Notamacropus eugenii: one gene and its partner. The protein of the gene in region 1 purifies or fractionates together with the protein of each later gene. This does not show direct contact. Links are inferred from orthologs where the notes say so. Each region holds a gene or a part of one and is shown on either strand. Other genes may lie near its edges.

The links.
Region 2: the proteins of SRPK2 (region 1) and SON purify together in Homo sapiens (affinity purification with mass spectrometry; 4 studies listed by BioGRID and IntAct, with this or other methods). This does not show direct contact. The link is inferred for Notamacropus eugenii from reciprocal best matches to the Homo sapiens genes SRPK2 and SON.

The regions. Positions count from the first base shown.
Region 1 is NC_092874.1:150,432,182-150,442,859, forward strand, and holds the start of SRPK2 (SRSF protein kinase 2), read left to right. Parts: upstream 1-6,112; 5' UTR 6,113-6,396; coding exon 6,397-6,505; intron 6,506-6,867; exon of another isoform or gene 6,868-7,080; coding exon of another isoform or gene 7,081-7,096; intron 7,097-7,212; coding exon 7,213-7,267; intron 7,268-10,678. UniProt on the Homo sapiens protein: Serine/arginine-rich protein-specific kinase which specifically phosphorylates its substrates at serine residues located in regions rich in arginine/serine dipeptides, known as RS domains and is involved in the phosphorylation of SR splicing factors and the regulation of splicing.
Region 2 is NC_092876.1:425,725,840-425,736,528, forward strand, and holds the start of SON (protein SON), read right to left. Parts: upstream 4,163-10,689; 5' UTR 4,103-4,162; coding exon 4,026-4,102; intron 3,726-4,025; exon of another isoform or gene 3,704-3,725; intron 1,403-3,703; coding exon 1,236-1,402; intron 1-1,235. Other genes in the region: GART (trifunctional purine biosynthetic protein adenosine-3), read left to right, coding at 4,492-4,510, 8,406-8,558, 9,920-10,015. UniProt on the Homo sapiens protein: RNA-binding protein that acts as a mRNA splicing cofactor by promoting efficient splicing of transcripts that possess weak splice sites.

The DNA.
Region 1 (10,678 bases):
TGCCTTTTGCATAGGAAGTGCTTGACAGGTGTTTTTTTAATTGAATGAATTCATAAAAGATTATTTTGGTAGTAATGTAAGATATAGATTAGATAGGGGAGAGATAGGAGGGAGACTTCTTAGGAGATTATCTCAGCAGTGTAGTTGGACAGAAATTGGGGCTTGTGCTAGGATAGTAGCAGTGGGAATAGAAAGAAAAAAATGCTGAGGTGAAAGCAATAGAACTTGGTAGCTAAATGAATAGGAGAGGTGAGAAAAAGCAAAATTGGAGGCTTGGAGAATGGCATTGAAACAGATGGAAAGAATGAAGTAGAAAGAGGAATAGGTTTGGGGGAATTGGTAATCAACTAGGTTTGGTCATGTTAAGTCTGAGATGCTAGTGAAGCATCCAGATGGGTAAGTCCTAAAGGCAGTTGAAAATTCAGGTCTAAAGTCTTAGAAAGAAGTCACATTTGGAAATACAGAATTCGGTGTCTTTGGTATGTAGAAATAGTATCTGAAAAGAGATAGTTGAAAGAAAAGAAAAAGGGCAGAACCATGGAGAATACATACAACACATTACGAAGAGAATGAGGAATGAACAGAGTCAAATAAGGAATAGTTTGAGAAGTCAGAGAATTAGGACAAGAAAAGTGTCTTTGAAGCCAAGGAAAAGACAGTATCCAGTAGGAGGGAAAGGATTAGCTTTGTCAAAAAAAAATTACAAGAATTTGGGGAAGGCAAGAAGGATGAAGACTGAATAAAGGTAATTGGATTTGGCAATTAGGAAATCACTGGCAACTTTAGAGATAGTAGGTTTTTAAAATATCTGATTTTTATTGTTGTCTTTTTTTTTTTTACAATAAATAACCAACAATCCATTTTACAATCACTTAATCATTTGTTATGTTCCAGACATCGTGTGAGGGATACAAAGACCAAATGAAGCAGACGCTACTTTTATGTTTACATTCTATTGAAGAAGAAGGCAGGCATATATAAAAATATATGCAAAAACTCACATGCAAAATGTTCACATATATATTTATTTATATCACATCCATTCCTGAATGTCTTTCCTTTCTTTAGAGAAAGGGGGAACCAACGGTTCAGCAAAATTATCTAGCACATCAGCTGACCCCAACATTATGTGCAATGTTCAACATGGATGACCTGCCACCTCTCCAGTGAAGGGAGGGAGGCACATTTCTTCAACTCTTGCCCAGGGTCAAGCTCCCAGGGTCATTGTGATTACAATGTTCAGTTTTCATTCTGTTGTTGCTTTTAGAAAACATAGTTTCAGTCTGTTGGAGAAGGCAAAAACCTGGTTCAGAATAGATTGGGTAGTGAGGTAATGGAATGATTCTTTTTCAATTGGAAAGATCAACTATAGACAGTTTTTTCCCAAGAAAAGTATTAGTTCAGGAGAATAAAGAAATAGGACAATAGCTATTGGGGTTTAGAAGAATCAAGGAAAGGCTTTGTTAATAATTGAGAAGATCTGACTATGTTAGGAAGTTCTTTCCTATATTGAGTTAGAATTTCTCTCTACCATCCACTGGTCTGAGTTTTGGCTTCTTAGACAAAACAGAATAGTTCTTGTATTTCTCCTATTTGACAACTCTTTAAACATTTAAGGATAAGATAATGTCATCCTTAAATCCTAGGATCACAGTCTTCTCTCTGTAGTCTAGATATTATAAATTTTTCCAAGTGGTTTTTATGTGGCATGGTCTCCAAATGTTTTCTTTTCCAACCACTAGTATTATTTAGATAGCATAATGCAGAAGTTAAAAAATTAATACTTCTTTCTCTTCAGTATACCGTATACATAGGTATCTTGAAATAAACAGTTTTTGAAGATAGTGAGTTCCCCCTCATTGGAGGTATGCTAACTAAGGCTGAATGACCCTTATCTTCCCCTCCTTGTAACAAACATGTATAGTCAAACAAAACAAAATCCTTTCTTTGCCATGTCCAAAAGAAAAAGAACATGTATATATGTAAGCATGCACACATATATGTATATTTGTCTCATTCTATACTCTGAATCTTTCACATCACTATGAAGTATGTGGGTAGCATGTTTCATCATTAGTGTTCTGGAATTTAGGTTAAACTTTGCAATGACTCAGTGAACTTCAGCTCCTTAGACCTCAGTTTCTTCCCCTGTAAAATGAGTGCATTGAACTAGATGATATCTAAGGTCTCTTTGAGCTCTGAATCTTTCATTCTGTGATCCCTGATTATGCTCTAATGGAATCTGTGATGTCAATGTGGGTACTCTCATCAAGGACCGCAAAGTGTTCATGATTGTCTATCCTAGTCTAGTTGTTAACAACCTTCAATAAATCCACCATAAAAGGTACTCCCAATATGCTGGTGGTATTCCTCACACTTTCTTTGAAATATTTTTTATTCCAAATTTGACAAATACCAACAAACATAAAAGTTTCTGATTATAAAGAAAAGTAGAAAAAATGTGCATATGAAATCTTCACCTTAATATCTATTATATACTGTTTTTTACAAGTGTATGTTAAGTTTAATAGAGAAGTATCAACACTGTCCTGTTTTCTGTGCCACCTTCTGCTCTTTGACTGTGTTTTAATGTTTAATTTACACTTTTCTTCATTTTTTGTCATTACTATCACTACTCCAACTCCCTCCCTAAGACTTTCCTCTTCCCAAAATAAATGCCTTCACTTTGTAACAAATAAGTATTGTCAAATAAAAAAACAAGCATTCTTCCCATCCCCTGCAAAAATAAACAAAATACATTAAAGACTGCTTCATGAATTTGTATGTCAACCTTGAACATGAGTCATACTAATTTCTTTATTATTCCAATTTTAGCATATGTGCTGCTGTAGTAGGCACTTTCTTGCAAGTTTGTGACATTGAAACATATGTGCTATCCTTCAGTTTTCCTTTGCTTTTGCTGTGTGACTGGCCCATCTTCTTTTTCCAGTGATAAATTTCTCTGATGACATTTGTTATACAGTTTCTACCGTGTAAGTCCTCCCTTGTAATGTATTGCCACTTATATTTCAGCCACAAACCATGCATCTTTCCTTTATTCTTTGGGAATCCTTAATTTCAGTTGTTTGGAGACCATAGTGTTTCATTACTCAAAGGCATGCAACATTACCGGGAAACTATTGATGTCAGAAAGATGGGCTTTTGTTTTGTGGAGAAGCTTGGGATCACTAAATGAACTGTGCAGTTTTCCACAGGCCTTCCAGCTCTCCTTCCTCCTCCTGTTCAGTTGTGGACCTAACTCATTGTTCATTGGTAGTATCTTTCCAGGATATATGTACTAATAGATGAGCTCTATGGTTTGCCTATCCAACTGTTTATCATCCTTGATATGTTTTATCATATGGCACTAGAACCTTTTATTTCATTTTAAAATAAAGGAAATGTATGCTTTTTTTTTTTTTTTTTACTATATTGCTTTTCACTTGTGTGTTCCCTGAAGTCTTCTTTCAAACAACTTTGTCATTTGTAAAGATAAGAATTAGCTTTATAGGGAGTAAATTTCTAAACTGTACAGATTAGTGAGAGAGTTACTATAGTAAAATAAAAAAAAAAAGAAAAAGTACTAGATTTGGACTCAATCTAGATCTGAATTTGAAACCCAGTTCCATTAAACTTTTCAGGGAAAGGAAAGGGAACAAGAAGATTAGAAACTGGTTCTAGTCTGGTTGACAGGTGTCTACCATATGCTAGACACTATGCTAAATGCTTTACAAAGATAATTTCTCTTGATCTTCATAAAAACCCTGTGAAGTAGATGGCATTATTATCCTTATATTATAGTTGAGAAAACTGAAACAGTCAAAGGTTAAGTGACTTGCCTAGGGTTATACATCTAGTAAATATCTGAGGCTGGATCTGAACTCAGATCTTCTTGATTTAAGACCCAGTACTCTACCAGTTAGCTGCCTTAGATGTCACTTAAGTTTTTTAAGCCTCAGGATACTTATCTGTAAAATGGGGATTATATTACCATTCTCACAGGGCTGTTGTAAGGAGAATACTTTGGAAACCATAAAATGCTATAAAATATGACCTGGTATCATTATTATTCATATTTTGGTAGTTCTCTGTGTCTCTTCTAGCCCCCAAATTCTGACTCTCTTAATTTATATAGCAATAAGACAAGTATCATGGTTAAGTATTTAATAAATGCTGTTTGATGATGATGAAGTTATATTTTTATTAAAGAAATTCAAGGCACTTTGCAAATATTGCATTATTAATACTGGGCCACAAGTGTTATCCTCCCTTAATTTATAGAAATGTACTCACATTTTGGTCACAAGAACAAACACATTTAAGTTTTACATCCAAAAGATACATTTAGGCTATATAGTATCCTTTAGAACATTACATGTTTTCATAAATGTTATGGCTAGTCAACCTTGAGGTAAGGATACATTTATAAAACTTCTCTGACAATGAAATAGCTGATGTACTTTTGAAAACTTCATTGTAGCCAATTATGAAGGCAACTTAGTAAACTGGATTTAGTGTCAAAGATGCTGGGCTTGAATACTAATTCTGCTACTTCACTACTTGTGTGATCTCAAGCAAGCCTTTCCCTGGGCCTTGGTTTCATTTTCTGTTTTTCTCTATCTAAGGACTCCTGGATCTTACCATCTGCCCTAAAACTGTACCCTTACATCTTCAGAGCCTTCCTGTCCACACTGTATTGTCTTTCCCTACTTAGAACTGAACGTGATGTCTTTGCCAAATATAGTATGAAATCCTTGAGAGAGTAAGGGCTATTAACTTTTTCTACTTCTATCTAAAGAGGTAAGCAAGGTGATTGTCACATGGTGGATACAGAACCTGGAGTCAGGAAGATACAGCTTCCTGAGTTCAAATCAGCCCTCAGACACTTAGTAATGGTGTGACCCATAGCAAGTCACTTAACCCCTGATTGGCCTCAGTGTCCTCATCTGTAATAAGAGCTGGAGAAGGGCATGGGAAACCACTCCAATATCTCTGCCAAGAAAACTCCAAATAGGGTCACAAATAGTCAGACATAACTGAAAAAAGAACACAATAAGCAACAAAATAAACAACTTAAAATGCTTTATTCATTCATCTGTATGAGATTGGAGTATAATGATCACTGTGAATTCCTGGAAAGCGGGAATTATCTTTTGCTTTTCTTTGCACCCCAATGCTCAGTATAGTACTTGCCACATAGTAGGCCTTGACTAATGTTGACTTCTAGTTCTAAATCTTGTGATTTGAATGAGCAGGATAATAACATTACCTTTTTATTTTCTTGATGCTTTTATTGCTTTGACTCTTTTAACTTTTCATTTATAGGTAGGGTACCTTCTGCTGGTCTTCAATAAATGTGCCAGGGCTGTATTTAATCTTTTTTTTTTTAAAAGACTACATTTAAGGATTTTAGCACATCTCTGAAAACTTTTGGTATAGTATTCTGTGATATTATTAAAGCATTCTTGTTAATTGATGCTGAAAGTTATTTAAAATAGGGATCTTTTGGGGCACAATTGGAAGGACATTTCAAACAGATAATCAGCCTTCTTTTTCTTTCTTTATTTTTTCCTAAACTAATACTTTCCACTAAAAATGAACATTTTGGGAAGATCACTCCTACACTGAGGATATATATATATAATATATATGGCATATATATTATATATATATATACACACACACATCAATAATCTCACAAGATATGATACTCTCATTCCTCACAAAAGAAATCAAGACTTCCATATTTACTCATGAGGAAACATGCTTGGTGAGGTTATATATTATTTGCGTTCATAGTTTTTAGAAGCTGAAACATTAGAGATCATCTCCTTGTCTAAATTCATACCATGACAAAGACAGGGTTAAACTGTGATAGGAATCAGATATGGAAGGGATCTTGGAGAGTTTAGGATCATAGATTCAGAGAATGGGTCATAAAAGCCACCTAGTCCAAGATCCTCATTGTACAGGTGAAGATATGATGGCCCAGAGGAGCACAGTGACTTTTCCAAGGTCACCCAGGCCAAGAGAAGAATCTAGATTCGAATGTAGATTGCCATCAGATTCCGGAACCCAGTGCTCTTTCAACCACAGTAACAACATTCGGTCTTTTCAGTATTTCAAGTTAAGCCTTTGAGAAGAGTTAGAAAAGAAAGTTGTTTCACACCTGAGTGACTTGGCTTGGCCTTGAAAGGGCTATCAAAGTTGTGCCAATATTATACCAAGGGGGTACGTTTGTGTCGAGTTCTCTAAATGTAACACCGCTTTTTAAATTTAGATACCTGTGAAAAGGAGCAGGAGAAGCTGGTCCTGGGTCCTAGGGATAAGGGATCAAAACCGATCCGAAGAGAACGGTGGAAGGAGGGACCAACTTGGGGACTAAGGGACGAAAAGATGGAGGAAAAGGGGAAAAGGGGCTTGAGTGGAAAGAAAAGAGGTCGTCTGAACCGGAGCCAGGTCGGGAGGAGACAAGATGGTGTTGGACCAAGTCAAGACTCCTCTGGTGAGCGAGAAGAGGGAAGAAATGCGGGAGCGACCTTCACCGGGAGTTTGGAGGGATGGGGGGATCGCGAGGGCAGGAGCCCGACCCAAGGTGAGTGAGTCCTAGGATGGGGGCTGGGCGGGGGCAGCGACGGGAAGGGAGGGGCGACGGATCGAGGGAGGACCGCGGGGCTGAGCCATTGGAGGAGGAGGCCAGAGCCGGGAGAGGGGCGGGGCTGGTCCCGCAGAGCTCGAGGTGGGGGCTGGGGTTGGGGGAGGACGCTTCTGTGCCAGCTTAGGTTGAGGCGCTCCGAAGCTAGGGTGAGGGAATAGAGAGGGAGGGTGTCAGGAGCTGGCAAGACCTACGCCCGCGGCTGGGGCCCCCAGGCCGGGACGGGGGCGGAGCCTGGGGCGGGGCCGGGCCCTGGGGGCGGGTCCTGCGCTGGGCCCCCGCGGGGAGCGGCGGCCGGTGGCGCAGGCGCGGTTCCCGCCTCCTCCTGGACTGGCGGAGCGAGTGGAGGAGGCTGCAGCCCCCGGCTCCGGCTCCGGCTCCGGCTTCGGCTCCGGCTCCCCGTCACCGCCCCTTCCCTGAGCGGGATGAGCTCCCGGAAAGGTGTGTGCGCCCTCTCAGCTCTCTGCCCTTCCCGCCGCCCCGTCCCTCGGAGGCCACAACGTCCCCAACCGTTAATGTGTGTCTCTCTCTCTTCCCTTCCCCCCCACCCCCCACAGTGCTGGCCATTCAGGCCCGAAAGCGGAGGCCGAAGAGAGAGAAACATCTGAAAAAGTGAGTCCGGACTCCCCGACGTCGTCCCGCCTCCACCCCCTTGGTCCCTCCAGACTGGGGAGGCTCGGGGGGCGCCGGGTTCCCGCGGAGGAAAGTTGCCCGGACCCCCCTGGGGGCGGGGCAGGGGGCGGGGCGGGACGCGTCGGGCGCCCCCCCTCGGGATGCTCTCTTCTTCCTCCTTCCCCCCCGCCCCGGCTGCGCCCCGGCTGCGCCCCTCTCGCGGGACGCTCCCCCCTCCCACCGGACGCTCCCCCCTTCCCCCGCAGCACTCCCTCCCCTGGGGCCCCGGGGAAGGCGGACGAGGCGAGGGCTCCCGGCAGCTGCCGGTCGCTGTCCCGGGGCTGGGGGGAGGGGTGGGTGCGTGCCTCCCGCGGCCGCCGCCGCCGCCGCCGCCGCCGCCGCCTTTGGCTCAGACCGGAGCTCTGCATCCTAGCCCAGACCTCTGCCTCCTTGGGTGGGGGAGGGAGAGCGGCCGTCGGGGTGTTGGGATGAATGGCTCAGGCCAGCGCGTGCCCTTTCTTTTGCTTTTAACTCTCCTTCCTCATTTTGTATTTTGTCTTAGTGAGCCTCGAACGCTTTTTTCCTCTCGGTGAGGAGGTCTAAGTTTGTAGTTGCAGGTGTAGAAGATGTACTGGAATTCATTCATTCATTCACCAATCAACCACTCTTCCTTTTCCCCGGTCTTCGCCTCTCACCCGGGGAATTATTTATTGGAGGAGAGGGACATCCCGGTTTCTCACTTTTTTCTCCTCTTCTTCAGCTATCCTTCGTATTCGCTCCCACGCCCCGAGTAGATAGTATTGGTATTTATACTACTGCGTCGAAAATCGGCGTTTGTTCTGCGAAAAGTGTATTGATTTGCTTTGGATAAATCTGCTCCGTGTTGGTGTGAGTTGAGTTTTCACAGTTTCTGTATTTTGGAGTTCTTCATTTTTTCCCCGAAACTTTATTGTAGGGTCATGAACTTCCAGTGTGTTAGCTGCTGGATATTTTTCTCGGTTGGCTTTTGCTTTGAAGAAGCCATCCAGTAGGTGGGCGTATGATTTATGGTGAAAGAGATTGGCATTTGATTAAGCTCCAGCCATTCATTGCCTTAGAAAGTATGATGACTGGTGTTATCATGTTTAAAACGTGCATTCCACCAAGCTGCCACCCCCACTACATCTAAATTTAATATAAACGTATAAATGGACCAGAATTAAACCAGTGGCTAGGGATTTATAATTGGTAGTGTAGCAGAATGGTTCAGCTATGTTTTCTGCCCTGGAATGTATCTTTTGAAGCACTGGAGTCAGCGAAGATTTTTCATTGACCAATATTCAACATTTTTTCTTTTTATATGCTTAAGAATTCCTTTTAAGCAAAAATATTTTCATGAATGTGGTTGGGTGGCAATATAGGGGTGTCATCGTGGTAAATGTTTTAAGAATTTAAAATTTAAATGAAATTATAAAATGTCTAGTTTAAGTTAGGACTTTCTTTGGGAGGCTCCCTATAACTCATCCAAGGTTTTTCTTTATCATTCTTCTTTTAGAAGAATCTAATGTTAGTGACATCTGTGAAAGCTCATTAAATCATTATTAATGGATGAGGTGGTATAATATAACTGAAAATTATTCATTCACAAATGAATCCTGAGTTCAGCAAGTATACCAAGAATTACACACATTATACATGAAGTGGTGGGATGTTTTTTAAAAAGTGAGGAAACTAGACAAAAAATATTCTGAAATTTGAGACAGTAAATGTAAAAATTATCCTTTGGCTTTGAACTTAGTGTGGATTAGAACTGAATGGATCTATTTTATGTAACTTGTTTCTGTAATTAGCAACACAAGGTAGATTTTGGAAAATTTGCTTTACCTTCTTGGGTCTCAGATTTCTCATCTGTAAAATGAAGAGTTGAACTGGTTAATCTCTAAGGTCTCTTGTTATTCTAAATCTTATTATTTATGTTGAAAAAAGTAATTTGGGATTGGAAAAAAGACTAATTGGAGGGTATGTCATAAATATTTTAAAATCCTCATTAGATTATGTTAGATGCATATTCTAATCTCATGAGTGGAAATGTATGGGTTTTAGTAATCCATGTCTAGAGCTGAGATACTTAACCTAGGGTCTGTGAATTCAAAAAATATATATATTTTGATAACTGTTTCAATATAATTTATCACTTTTGTAATCCTATGTATTTTATTTCATGCATTTAAAATGCATATGAGAAGGAGTATTCTGCCAAAAGTATTCACGACATAAAAAATGGTTAAGAATCTCTGTTACAGAACTATTTCCTTTTTTGTTATTGTTGCAGGTGTCTTGCATAGTTTCCATCTGTTGTGCTTAGGAAATAATAGGTATTTGACAAAAATATATCCCCTTTCTATTACTTCATGTCCTTATCTCTTCCATAGTGCACAAACTATGTAAGAATTATATAGAAAAAGTCAATTCCTTTGACAGTAGATTAGTACGTTTATGACAGATGAGACCTGCCATGTATGGAGAGCTTGATTCTGGGCTTCTAGTAGAATACTAAACTCCTTGAGGGCAAGTACTAATTTTTAAAAGTGTGTTTGAATTGAACTAAAATTATTTTTAAAAAACCTGATCATTAAAAAGTCTTGTAATAGCTAGGCAATGAAGTTAATAAATTTATTTGGTCAGAAAAGATAATTTCTTGCTGTTTGTTTCCCAATTCAAAGTATATATTTAAAAAAATAAACTTAGTTTTCATAAATACTGAAACTAAGTTATTTGGCATACTTGGGCAGGCCCCTTTTTGAGAAGAGCCAATTTTTGTATGTGGATAGTAATACAAACTGTTTCATATTTAGGCAGCAGAGCAGAGTGGAGATAGCCTTGGCTTTGGTGGCAGTTATCTGCTGACCAACAGGTCATTCTCCCTTTTTTCTTAAAGCTTACACATCCACATCAACTGTGTTTTGGACTTGGGGACATCAGCATCCATACTGGCGTTTCTTCCTCAAACACCTTGGCCTGCCTAACAGTAAATCTCAGCTTGCATGGCATACAGTTGACTCCATCTTAGCCACATACAAAGATAAAAGGATGGTCATATCCTTGATTTTATCTCCCATGAATGTTGCACTTGCATGATCAAGAGCTCTGAAATTTTTCACTTTGACCATAATTTCCCATCCTTTCATATTCCCTTTGCTTCATCCTTAAATTAAGATGACTTTATTCTCAGTATTGCTTCATGAGCCTAGCACAGTGCCTTAATGCATGCTTGTGTGTTCGTCCTTTGTTGCTGAAGAAGACTATGCCATCAGAGAAATAATGACATGACTTGCACTTGACTTTGTTTTGAGTGAGGGAGGGCTGAGCAGGTCACCAGCCTCACTTCTCCTCCAGAGCCATCTGAATCCAGTGACCAGATATTCATCAGGA
Region 2 (10,689 bases), on another chromosome or scaffold:
CCTAAAATCTCTATTTCTTTTGCCTTATGGATTAAAAACACAAAAAACACTGAATCAAATGACACAGGTATTTTTTTTGAGGTATTCTTATATTCCAGTTCCTCAAGTGTTAAAATAAACATTCTAAAATTTACAAGTAATTTTTCAAAGGAAAATATCCCAAAAATGGCATTCAGAGGGAGAAACCTTCGTAATCTTTAACGTTGAGTTCAATAAAATTCTCACTCAACTAAGTGCGAAGAGTAAGTAATTTTATTTTATTTATAAGCAAATGGGTTATACTAATTTACACTGACACAGACACCTGCAAGCTCTTATCAAAATGTACAGGTTAGAAAAGAACGCAGAGAAAGAACTGTAACAGAAGTCAGACTGTGCTAAGCCATATTCATAATTTTTTTTAATTTCAAGTACAATTAAGATTTGAATAATTTAGATGTACAATTATTTTACTTTAATTCATGTACGTTATTATCTCTATCCCAAATCCTTATTATCTGTTACTTTATCCTTAAAAAGATAATTTTTCAAAATGGCTTAGATTCTTAAAAAGATTCATGATTTAAATGTTTTAATTAATATACATTCTAAACATAATTCAGTATGGGTCAGTCATCAGATTGATACAAGATAGGTGTTCAGTAGTGAGGTTGATTTTATGCTTCCCTGACTACCTCTGAATAAGAAGCAACTAGTATTATCTGTTATATTACATTTTTAGTAACACAAAATGGAAATAACCTACCTTTCATCTTTTCTCTTCTCTTTGCCTCCCCCGGTCAGAACACAGTTAAGATGATAATGTTCAAATTATTTCAACCTACCTGTACCACAGATTTTTTATCTCTAAAATGAGAGAATTTGACTATAGGATTCTAGCTATAAATTCTAGCATCCTAGTATTAACTGGTGTCATCAACGTACACTAGTATGAAATTCAGAATCATGACACTATGATACTACAAGACCTCAAATAAGAAAAAGTTCAGCTTCAATAGGTATAAATGAAAACATACCACCTTTTTAGATTTTTCTGTAAAGTCTGAAGACTTTTAAAAATAGATCTATCTGTAATTATTCAGAAAATTCAATTAATCTAAGAAATCAGGCTATAGCAAAAGTTTCCTGTATTGTGAAATATGCTCAAAGATACTGCTTTCTAAAGACCTTTGAAGCTTCCCTTGAGATTTCTAGGGAAGGATAATCCTCAACACAAATAATCCCTTTTACTTTACCTGGTTTATATCGTAATTCTGTGTCTAGGACCCCAGACAGCACTTCTTCTATCTTCTGCACTATTTCTTCATTTGGTAGGCTCCTTGCACAGGCAGCTGCATCACCTGACTGGTTTCCTTCAACAGGTGGGTTTGTTTCACCATTCAGCTGGCCTTCAACCCTGCCACTGATTTAAAAATAAAACAGCAAAATTCATTAACATCATGGATATCAATATACAATAAATCAGCACAAAATAACAGCATATGAACAATTTGCTTAATTTTAGTGACTTTATTATCACGTCTGAATATGTAAGATACACTGCCATCTCTTATAGTTTTTGTAAACATATTCTTAAACCATAATAACTCTTTCTCAAATTTTATTAACTTCTAATCTACTTCCAACTAATTTATATTCTAATTTTATAGTATCACATTACCACCATTTTACAACTCTGCAAATCAAGTAAAAACTTCCAAAATAAAAGTTTTCTAAGCTCATCTGTTTCAATACGCTCAGAAATCTAAGTTGAGGCTTTTGGTTACTTATACTTGGCAAAAAGAAAAAAAACTCATGAAAATACAAAAAAAAAAAACAACACATGCATGGCCTAATATACACTAGGAGAATATGGGCATAATGAAGAAAAAAATAGTATTTTTAGCCAATCTGCTTACCATTACTGACCATCAGCATAAGAAAGACACTCAAATACATACAAGGTAAAAATAAATCACATGCTGTCTTTAAATTACATAAAACTTCCATAAATGTATAGAAAAACGTTTAGGGAAATCTCTTATATACAAAAACGGCTCAGGATATTTAAAATAAACCAATTAACTAATGAGAATTCATTATGCTTTAACCAATACCACTGTACACATAAAAAAAGCACTGGAGTTCTCACTTTCAGAATACAATTAAAATATTATCTGCAATCTTCACCTGTTTAAATCTGAACAACTCATTAAGCTAGTTATGGTTGTGTTCATTTGTCTGTAAAAGACTAAAGAATGAACCTATGTTTAAGTTCTTCCAATTCACATTTTAAAGCATTTTAAATATTTACTACAATTCTGATTGTGTTCCTTTCAAACAAATTAAGTAGGTCTGATCTGTCAGATCAAATTACCATATGCCCAAAAAAAGTAAATCTCAAAAAAAATTCAATTACAATGGGAAATATAACCAAGGAAGCACAATGAAACTACTAATACAACTAATTTTGGCCAATTAAACAATGAAGTTAGTAGCACACAATCCAAAATCTATTCATATTTGGTTCAGAATTACATTAAGACAAGGAGAGACAAAAAACATTGTAAGAGAGCAAGAGGTATGAAAGAGGATAACTAATGTTCATATTTATGCTTTGCTTGGACTGATATTAAAATTGGCTTAGATTTCCTCTAAGCACATCTTTAACGCTGAAAATGTTGAGTGGTCCAGAAATTTGCTATGCATAATCGACAAAATGGACTGTAATCAAACGAAATAGAACTACACTACACAAATTAAAAACTTATGCAATAAAAGTCCCAGGAATAAACCTCATCTGAAAATTCTGTTCACTCATATGACCAATACCTTGGCATCACCACCCCTTTCCAGCCCCCCAACACAATCCAGCCTACCGTTCAGTAAATGAGAATTAAGAACTTAATTTGGCTATTTAACTTACTCTTGGAGATTCAGTTCACACTACATTGTGACCAACAAACAGACAGGATCAAGATGCTGGAGTTTAAAGACAGTGAATAGCCACGGGGAGAAAGTATAAGAGAAAGTGTAACCCATATTTTAAGCTTCAGGGATTCTTGTTCCTATCTTCTTACTAAAAAGGACCAAATAAGGTGGACAAGGCACAAACACTAACGGAAAACCAAGCAAAACCAGTACCTCCTCGCTATTTTCCTTTCTCTCTAAACAGATTTTTATTTTTTTTTTTTGCAGATTTCCTTTCCCCACATTTTTGGTGGGGAAAATGGGAGCATAAAGAACAATAGCGGTTCGTTAATCAAGTCAACTTTCCTTGTTATTTGAAGCCAGGAAAGGAAAAAAACTGAAATTCAAAAGATTCCCCCTGTACTCCCAACCTCCAAACACAGACACAGGCACACACACACGCGCGCGCGCGCGCTCACAATTTCAACCATCTCCCCCTTCAAACCAACAACAAACTGAACAAATTTTAACTGCTTCCAACTCTTTTAAAAACAGGTGGAAAGAGCAAAGAGAAAACCAAAAGCCTCGATAATCCACAAACTAGAATAATCTAAAATTAGCAAGAACGAAATTTTAGGATTATACTATAAAAACGCCGTTATACACCCTTTCCGAGGCTGGGGACAGAATGGTGAAATCTCCGGAGATGAAGGCGGTGAGGGGGGAGGGGGCGGGGGAGGGGAAACGAGGAGGAGGAGGAGGAAGAAGAGGAGGATCGGAGGAGGAACCTAGGCCCACCCCAAGGTGGACAACGGGGCCTGGAAGACGGAAGGGAGGTTGGTTACTCGGAAGAGAAAGGGAAGTCTACGAAAGCAGCCCGTAGGCTGGGGGTTGGGGGGGGCGGGGGGAGGAGAGCGCCACGGAGCGAGAGACGAAAGCCCTCGCGCGCGAGGGGAGAGAGGAAGGAAGGTAGGCGGTGGGGGAGGGGGCGGGGGCCAGGAAATAGATCCCAGGCCCGGGCGAGGCTCCTGCAGGGCCTAGGCCAAAGGACGATGGCGGCTTCGGGGATACCGCGGTGGAACACTGTATCGGTACCAGCGGTCTGCTAAAGGCAGATGCGCCTGGGAACACGTTACCTGGAAAGCTCTTGCTGAATTTCCCGGAATTTACTGACCACGAAGGACCTGAAGATCTGCTCGATGTTTGTCGCCATGGCGGCCGCTCCGTTCTCTCAACTCCTCCTCCCAAGACCTCCAGGCTCCCAGCATGCGTCGGGAGTAGGCGCTACGGCCGGTTCCTTATCTCTCTTCCCTCATTGGCTCCCGCTGGCGCTCCGGGGAAGGCACGCTCTGCCACTGAACCAATCAGCGAACACGCATTCGTTTTCTCGGTCCGTTCTTGCGAGACGAGGGCGGAGCCGTTGACGTAAGCTCCAAGCTCGGGGCTGCGGCGGCCATGTTAGTGCCTGACGCAGGCGCCATTACAGGGCCAGTGTCTGCGGGTGAATCCCGCCAACGTGAGGGGCTTAGTCGTTCGCGTTCGGGGTGGGAGGTGGGCTTGTACTTTTGTGATTTGGGTTGATTTAAGGGCATAACTATCCAGATGGGAGACTGGCGGCGAGGTGAGAACTAGTCAGTGTTCCCGCGGAGCCCGCGCACGCCTGAGGGGGGCGCCAGGTCCGGCTTTATTGCCGTCTCGGGGAGGACCCGCCTCTTCGTCGCCTTCCTCCCAATGCTTGTGCAGAGTCCTGTGACCCTGGAAAATACAGCCTTTGCTTCCCTCCGCCCCCGGCCCCTCCCCCGCCCCTCCCGTCTGAATCCGCCTCGGTTTCTGAGCCCCGGGCTGCGTGGTCCCTGTGGCTGCTCCGGGAGCCTACGAGCCCCAGCGTGCAGGCGGTGTTCCGCGCTCCTCTCGCGAAACAGCCCGCCGGCCCCCCGCCGTGAGAGCCCTTAGTCCTCCTTAAACTATTCACGGGTGCCCGGCGGCCTCAGAGGTACCAGAGTGGGGGGGAGGGGGGGGTCGTGACAAAGCTGTCGTTACGTGACATGTGTGAACACGGTTCCCCGGGTCCGGGTCGAACCCACGGGGCCCAGGAGGGGCATCACGCTCCCGGGCGGTCGAGGAGCAGGCCGCCGCCCAGGGCCCGCGGGCCTGGGGGGAGGTGGTTGGGTGGCTGGGGGTGTCGCCGCTGAGGTGCCCGGGTACGAATTTAGGAACGTAAATAAGCGCCAAAGGTGGGAAGGCTTGTGGAACGCGGGAGTGTCCTTCCCTCCCGGACGGACGGACGGACGCACGCGGGGCCGAGGAGCCTTTGGGCGTCCACGTGTGCAGAGCGCTCGCGGCTTGTCGGCGGGAGGAGAGGGAGAGCCCAGGCTTTGTCATTCATCCCGGGTGGGACGGCTGCCTTCTCCTTCCGCGGCCTGGCCACGTGCGTGTCCTCCCGCTGTCACTGGTGGAGCATCTTTCTGCAGCCTGCTTACGGCAGAATTCCTGTCGTTTATTTAACTTAAATTTAATTATTTTAGGAGACGGGTCCGAGTGCTTTTCCCGTAGCTGGTCTCCTTTTTTCCTTGATATGTATTTCAAATAGGATTTCCTTAGTTTTTTCATCCTTCAGGGTTTACCCTGTGCTTTCCCCCACACTTTAACTGTGAGCGGTGCTTTTCTTGAAATGAACTTGGCGTTGGAAGAATTGGCCTTTTTCACCCGTGGGCTTGGCCACGTGCTCTTGTTTTCCAGGCTTGTTTTCCTAATCTTACCACTTGCTTTTTAACGTGGTTTTAATTAAGTTCCTGCTCATGGTTTCCAGTTTCTGATAAGCTACATTTTTCCATCCAAGCAAATGATTTTTTCTTCAGTTTTTCAAAAATTTAAGAATTGAAGAGTTCCTTCATTCAGTTTGGTTTTTCCATGTGGTCCAAAATGTTTTCAGTAGGTGCTTTTCTTCCTACAAAATTGGGAATTTTGAAAGTAGCTTTTATTTCTGCTTTGTACTGTTTACTTATTCAATGGACCGCAAGTCATCCTCATATAAGCTGAACAATGCTGTATCCTGTCTAAGAAAAGAAATAGATATACTTGTTTTAAGGATGAGAGAACTGAGAGTTACCTAGGTTTAGATGTCCAGAAAAGTTCTGCCCAAGGTCCTAAGTGTCAGAGGTTGAATTTGAGCTCAGGTCTTCCTGACCCCTGACTTCCAGAGTTCTTGTCTGCCTGGCCCTGGGTACCAGGTAGTTGCCAAGTCCTATCAGCTCTACCCTAGCACCTCTTCATTCCTGCCTCAGCTACACTACTTCAGGTCCTTACCAGAAGTTGCTTAGACCGTTGCAGGTAGTCTCCTGATGGGTCTCTTTACATCCAACATTCCCAATTTCTACTCTGTCCTCTGGCAGATTGATCTTCCTAAAGCCTAGGTTTGCCTTGTCATTCCTCTGCCCTAGAATCTTTACTGGGGCCTAGATAGCCAAATCCTGCCAGCCCCTGAGCTAAGGATGGTTTTTAACTTCTTAAATACATTCAGACTTTTATTTTAAAATGTAAACACTATTCTTAGTCCCCGGAAAGGAATCATCTTTTGCCTGTAAGATAAAATACAAATTTCTCCGTTTGACCCTCAAAGCCCTTCATAAACTGACCCCAGTTTATCTTTCCAGCCCAATTAAATATTATTACTCTTCATACGCTTCAGTCACATCAGCCTCTGTTGTTTCCTGCATACACGTATTCTGTCTTCTCTTTCCTTCCTGTCCTCATGTCTTAGCACAGGCTCTACCTCATATCTGGTGTATCCTCCCTCTTTACCTCTACTTTGTGTACTACAGCCTTCTAGAAGTCTTTTCTGATTTTCCAAATTGTTGGATTCCCCTCATCCTGAAGTGATTTTGTATGACTTTTTTATACATGCTCCATTTTTCTATGAACATTTTATATTCCCTCCTTCCCCTGAGACAGCTAGAGATAGGTGGCAAAGTGGGTGGAGCACTATGCCTGGAGTCAGGAAAACCTGAGTTCAGATATAACTGGACACTAGCCAGCTGTACAACCTAGGGGAAATCATTTAAACTGGACCTCAGTTTCCTCATCTGTAAAATGGGTATATAATAGCAGTCCCTGCCTTTGTAAAGTACTTAGCACAGTTCTATGTAATAATAGGCCTTCAGATACTTGATTGTCATATTTTATTCAGTTTCATTCAGTGTTTTAATAGTGTGTGCTATGTGTCACTGAGAATACAAAGAAAAAAATGAAATATCCCTGTCTTCAAAGAAGAAGAGAGGAAAGCTAGTTTGATTTTGAACTTGATGATCAAAAGTGACAAGTTTCCAGAAGCCGCCTAAGGGAACCTGTCCAGCAGGCGATTAGAAATATGACCAGTCTCACATTTCCAAATGCATGTGAGGCAGATCTACATGGATACCTGATCGGCACCTCAAACTCAACATATCTAAAACTGAGCTCATTCCTCCTTCACACAAATCCCCCCCAAAATTGCCCCTCCTAGCTAACCTTGTTTGTGCCATTCATTATCTGAAATTCTCTTAGTTATCGAAAAACTCCACTGTCCTATTTTGCTCTTTTCCAATTAGTTGCAAAGTCCTGTCTATACTGTCTCCAAAAATAACCTCCTGATTGCATCTTTTCTTCCTATCCACTCTACTGCATCCTAACCTTTAAATTCTTGTTACCATATATGACACCAAAAAATTTCTTAACCTGTTATTTTAAACCAACCCTTCATAATGCTGTGGCAGTGATTATCCTGGTGTACAAGTCTAACCAGGTCGCACTCCACTGCTCAGAAAATCTCAGTCATTCCCCATTGCCTGCAGGATAAAATACTATATTCTTGCCATCCTATTCAGTGTCCTCCTCCAGTCAGCTTCCAGTCCTACCTCTCAGTTTGTGGAAATCCTTGCCTTCAAGGCCTAATTCATATACTACTTATTTCTCGAGGTCTGCCCGGATTACTTCCAGCCAGAGAAAATAGCATTCTCTGACCTTTCCTGTGTGTTTTTCTCATTCTGATCATATTTGTCCTCATGTCTCCTTGCCCTACTATATTTCCCTTGAGGGCAGGACCTGAAATTCTTAACAGAACCTAACACAATACCTTTCACACAGTAGTGGCTTAAGTATTGAACCATTATGGAAGCAAGATTGAGACTGGAAGGGCTGACTGGGGAATAAGTTGTGTAGAGATGATCGTATGGAGTAGATGAATGGAGAGGGAGTGAAAACGAAAAATAAAGAGCCAAATGATACAAGCTCAGGGAGTGCTACCATTTAAAAGGAAGGGTCAGAAAAGCAGAATAATTAAGCTACTGCTACTTTAAAAAAAAAAAAGCCAGAAGCCAAAGAAAAGGTCTCAAGTATTGCCCAAAACGTAAGGAAAACAATAAGGAATGAGAAAATGAATGGATTTGAGTTGTTTTTTAAAATTTTAACTGAACTTGATTCTCCTGGCACTGTTTATCAATTTCTTTTCTTTTTTTTTTTTTTAAATCCCTACTCTGCAGACAAATTAATGGCAGTCCGAGTGCTTATAATTGGCAATGGGGGAAGGGAACACACACTGGCTTGGAAACTTGCTCAGTCTCAGCATGTCAGCCAGGTGATAGTTGCCCCAGGAAATGCAGGAACAGCCAACAATGGGAAAATATCAAATTCAGGTAAAGGCATTTTGATTTATAGAATGTATGATCTAAAAAGGACCTTAGTGATCATCTAACTCAACTCTATCAATTTACAGATAAGCAAACTAAATGTTAAGTAACCAGTCTAGTTATTTTATGTTGAGTATCAGTAGCATCTGATTTTTTTTTTTTGTTTTATTTGTTTTGGTTATTAGGGGAAAAAAAATCCTCTCTCCCCTCTCCATAATTGGAAAGTGTGAATCAATTTGCCAGAAGTGTAAGATGTGCTGTTCTGGTTATAGTTCTATCTTACAGAATTACTTTATGCCAACATCTTATTAAAAGTGCTTCATAATGATATGGATAATTACATGGTTCCTTAAGGTTTGTATAGAACTTTATATACATTATCTCATTTGGTTTTTACAGTAACCTTGTGAGGTAGATGCTTCTAATTTCCCCATTTTGCACATGAGGAAATTAAGGCTGAAAGTAACTTGCCAGAGACACAATTAGTGTCTGAGGTACAATCTGAATCCAAGTCTTCCCCCTTCCAATCTCATCACTCTCTGTTATCAGAATGGAATAGTCTGATAGCATTCTATAACAACCAAAAGTTTTGTCAAACCATTCTACATATCTTACATAGTTTGAATTAGTCGAATTAGCAGTAATATTAATAGTTAACATAGAGCTATGGTTTGCAAAGTGCTTTATGGAAATTGTCTCTTGGGAATATGGGTAGGAAGCATTATTCTGGGCTTATGTTTTGAAGTGGATTGTGAATGTTCAGCATGTAAAAGGAGATTGTCTTTTGAACGAACTTAAAATAGCAAAGGTATTTAAAATAGAATCCTGTTGATATACGTAAAGGATACATGTTGGTTAATGGAAGTTCTGTTTGCAAAAAACATTTTTAAAGCAAATATATATTTGAAAATAATATATTTGTGCACAGGGATATTGTACATAAATGCAATGCTCAGCAGCTTCAAAAAACAGTATCCTAGAAACTGGCTATTATATCTTTCTACTATGACTATTTTTCCAACATTTAAGAGATTGTTAAAATTTAACAATGGTAGTATTTGGACTTGGCTATGAAATACTGTTTACAGTACAAACACTAAAATTCTTATATTTGTGAAAGAGAAACTAACCTCATTATATAGTAGTTCATAAAGGAATTTACAGAGCTTTGGTCAGATTATTAGGACGTACACATAGCAACTGAAAATGAACTAGTTCTCTGGCATGATTCATTAAAAAATTTCTCAATTAAACTCAGTTACATAGTACCTATCCCCCAAAAAATTAGAAGTTGGCAATTATACCTAAGTAGATGATAGACAGCCTTACAATTAGATGTGAAATTTGTTGTTGTTTTATCTTTACAGCTGTATCAGTCAATGATCATACCGCCCTCACTCAGTTCTGCAAAGATCAGAAAATTGAACTTGTAGTTGTGGGACCAGAGGCTCCTCTTGCTGCTGGTAAAGTTGGAAAAATTCCAGTTTGCTTCTGTAAGATTGGCTTTATGGAAGAGAGCATTTAATCATAGAATTTCCGGGTTAAATTCCACGTCAGAGATAAACTAACAGACCTTTATTTATACAAAAGAATTTCTTTAAAATGTGCTATTGAATAGATTTTTAAAATTTAACCTCAGGTCCTGAATTGATTTTCTGGACTTCAACTGGTAACTACCTAGGAGTGTTTTGTTTTGTTTTTAAAGATTTAAATTGAAACAACAAAAAGTGCTCAATAGTGTTAGTTTCTGTCATTTTTCAATATGCAGACTGTTTAGTTGGCCTTTGGAATACCAAAAAAAAAAAAAAACTTGGTGTGAAAGCAAGTTTTACCAATATTAGCATCCCATTTGTTTATACAGATTGAATGCAAATAAAAAAAATTGATTTTGCTGTACTTAAGAAATATCACTCACAATTTCTGTTTGACATCAGTAAGAATGAAATAAATAGCAATTCACATTTTGTATGTCCCTAGTCATTTCCAGCCTAATCCAATCTCTTTTCAGCTGACACTTGAAATAAGTCCAGAACATGTTTTACTATTTACTTCCAATGTAAGATTTGGATCTGTTGTGTGATAGTCTAGTTGAGTTGGATATAGCTAAAATCAGAGCAGGCTTTACGTAGAATCACTC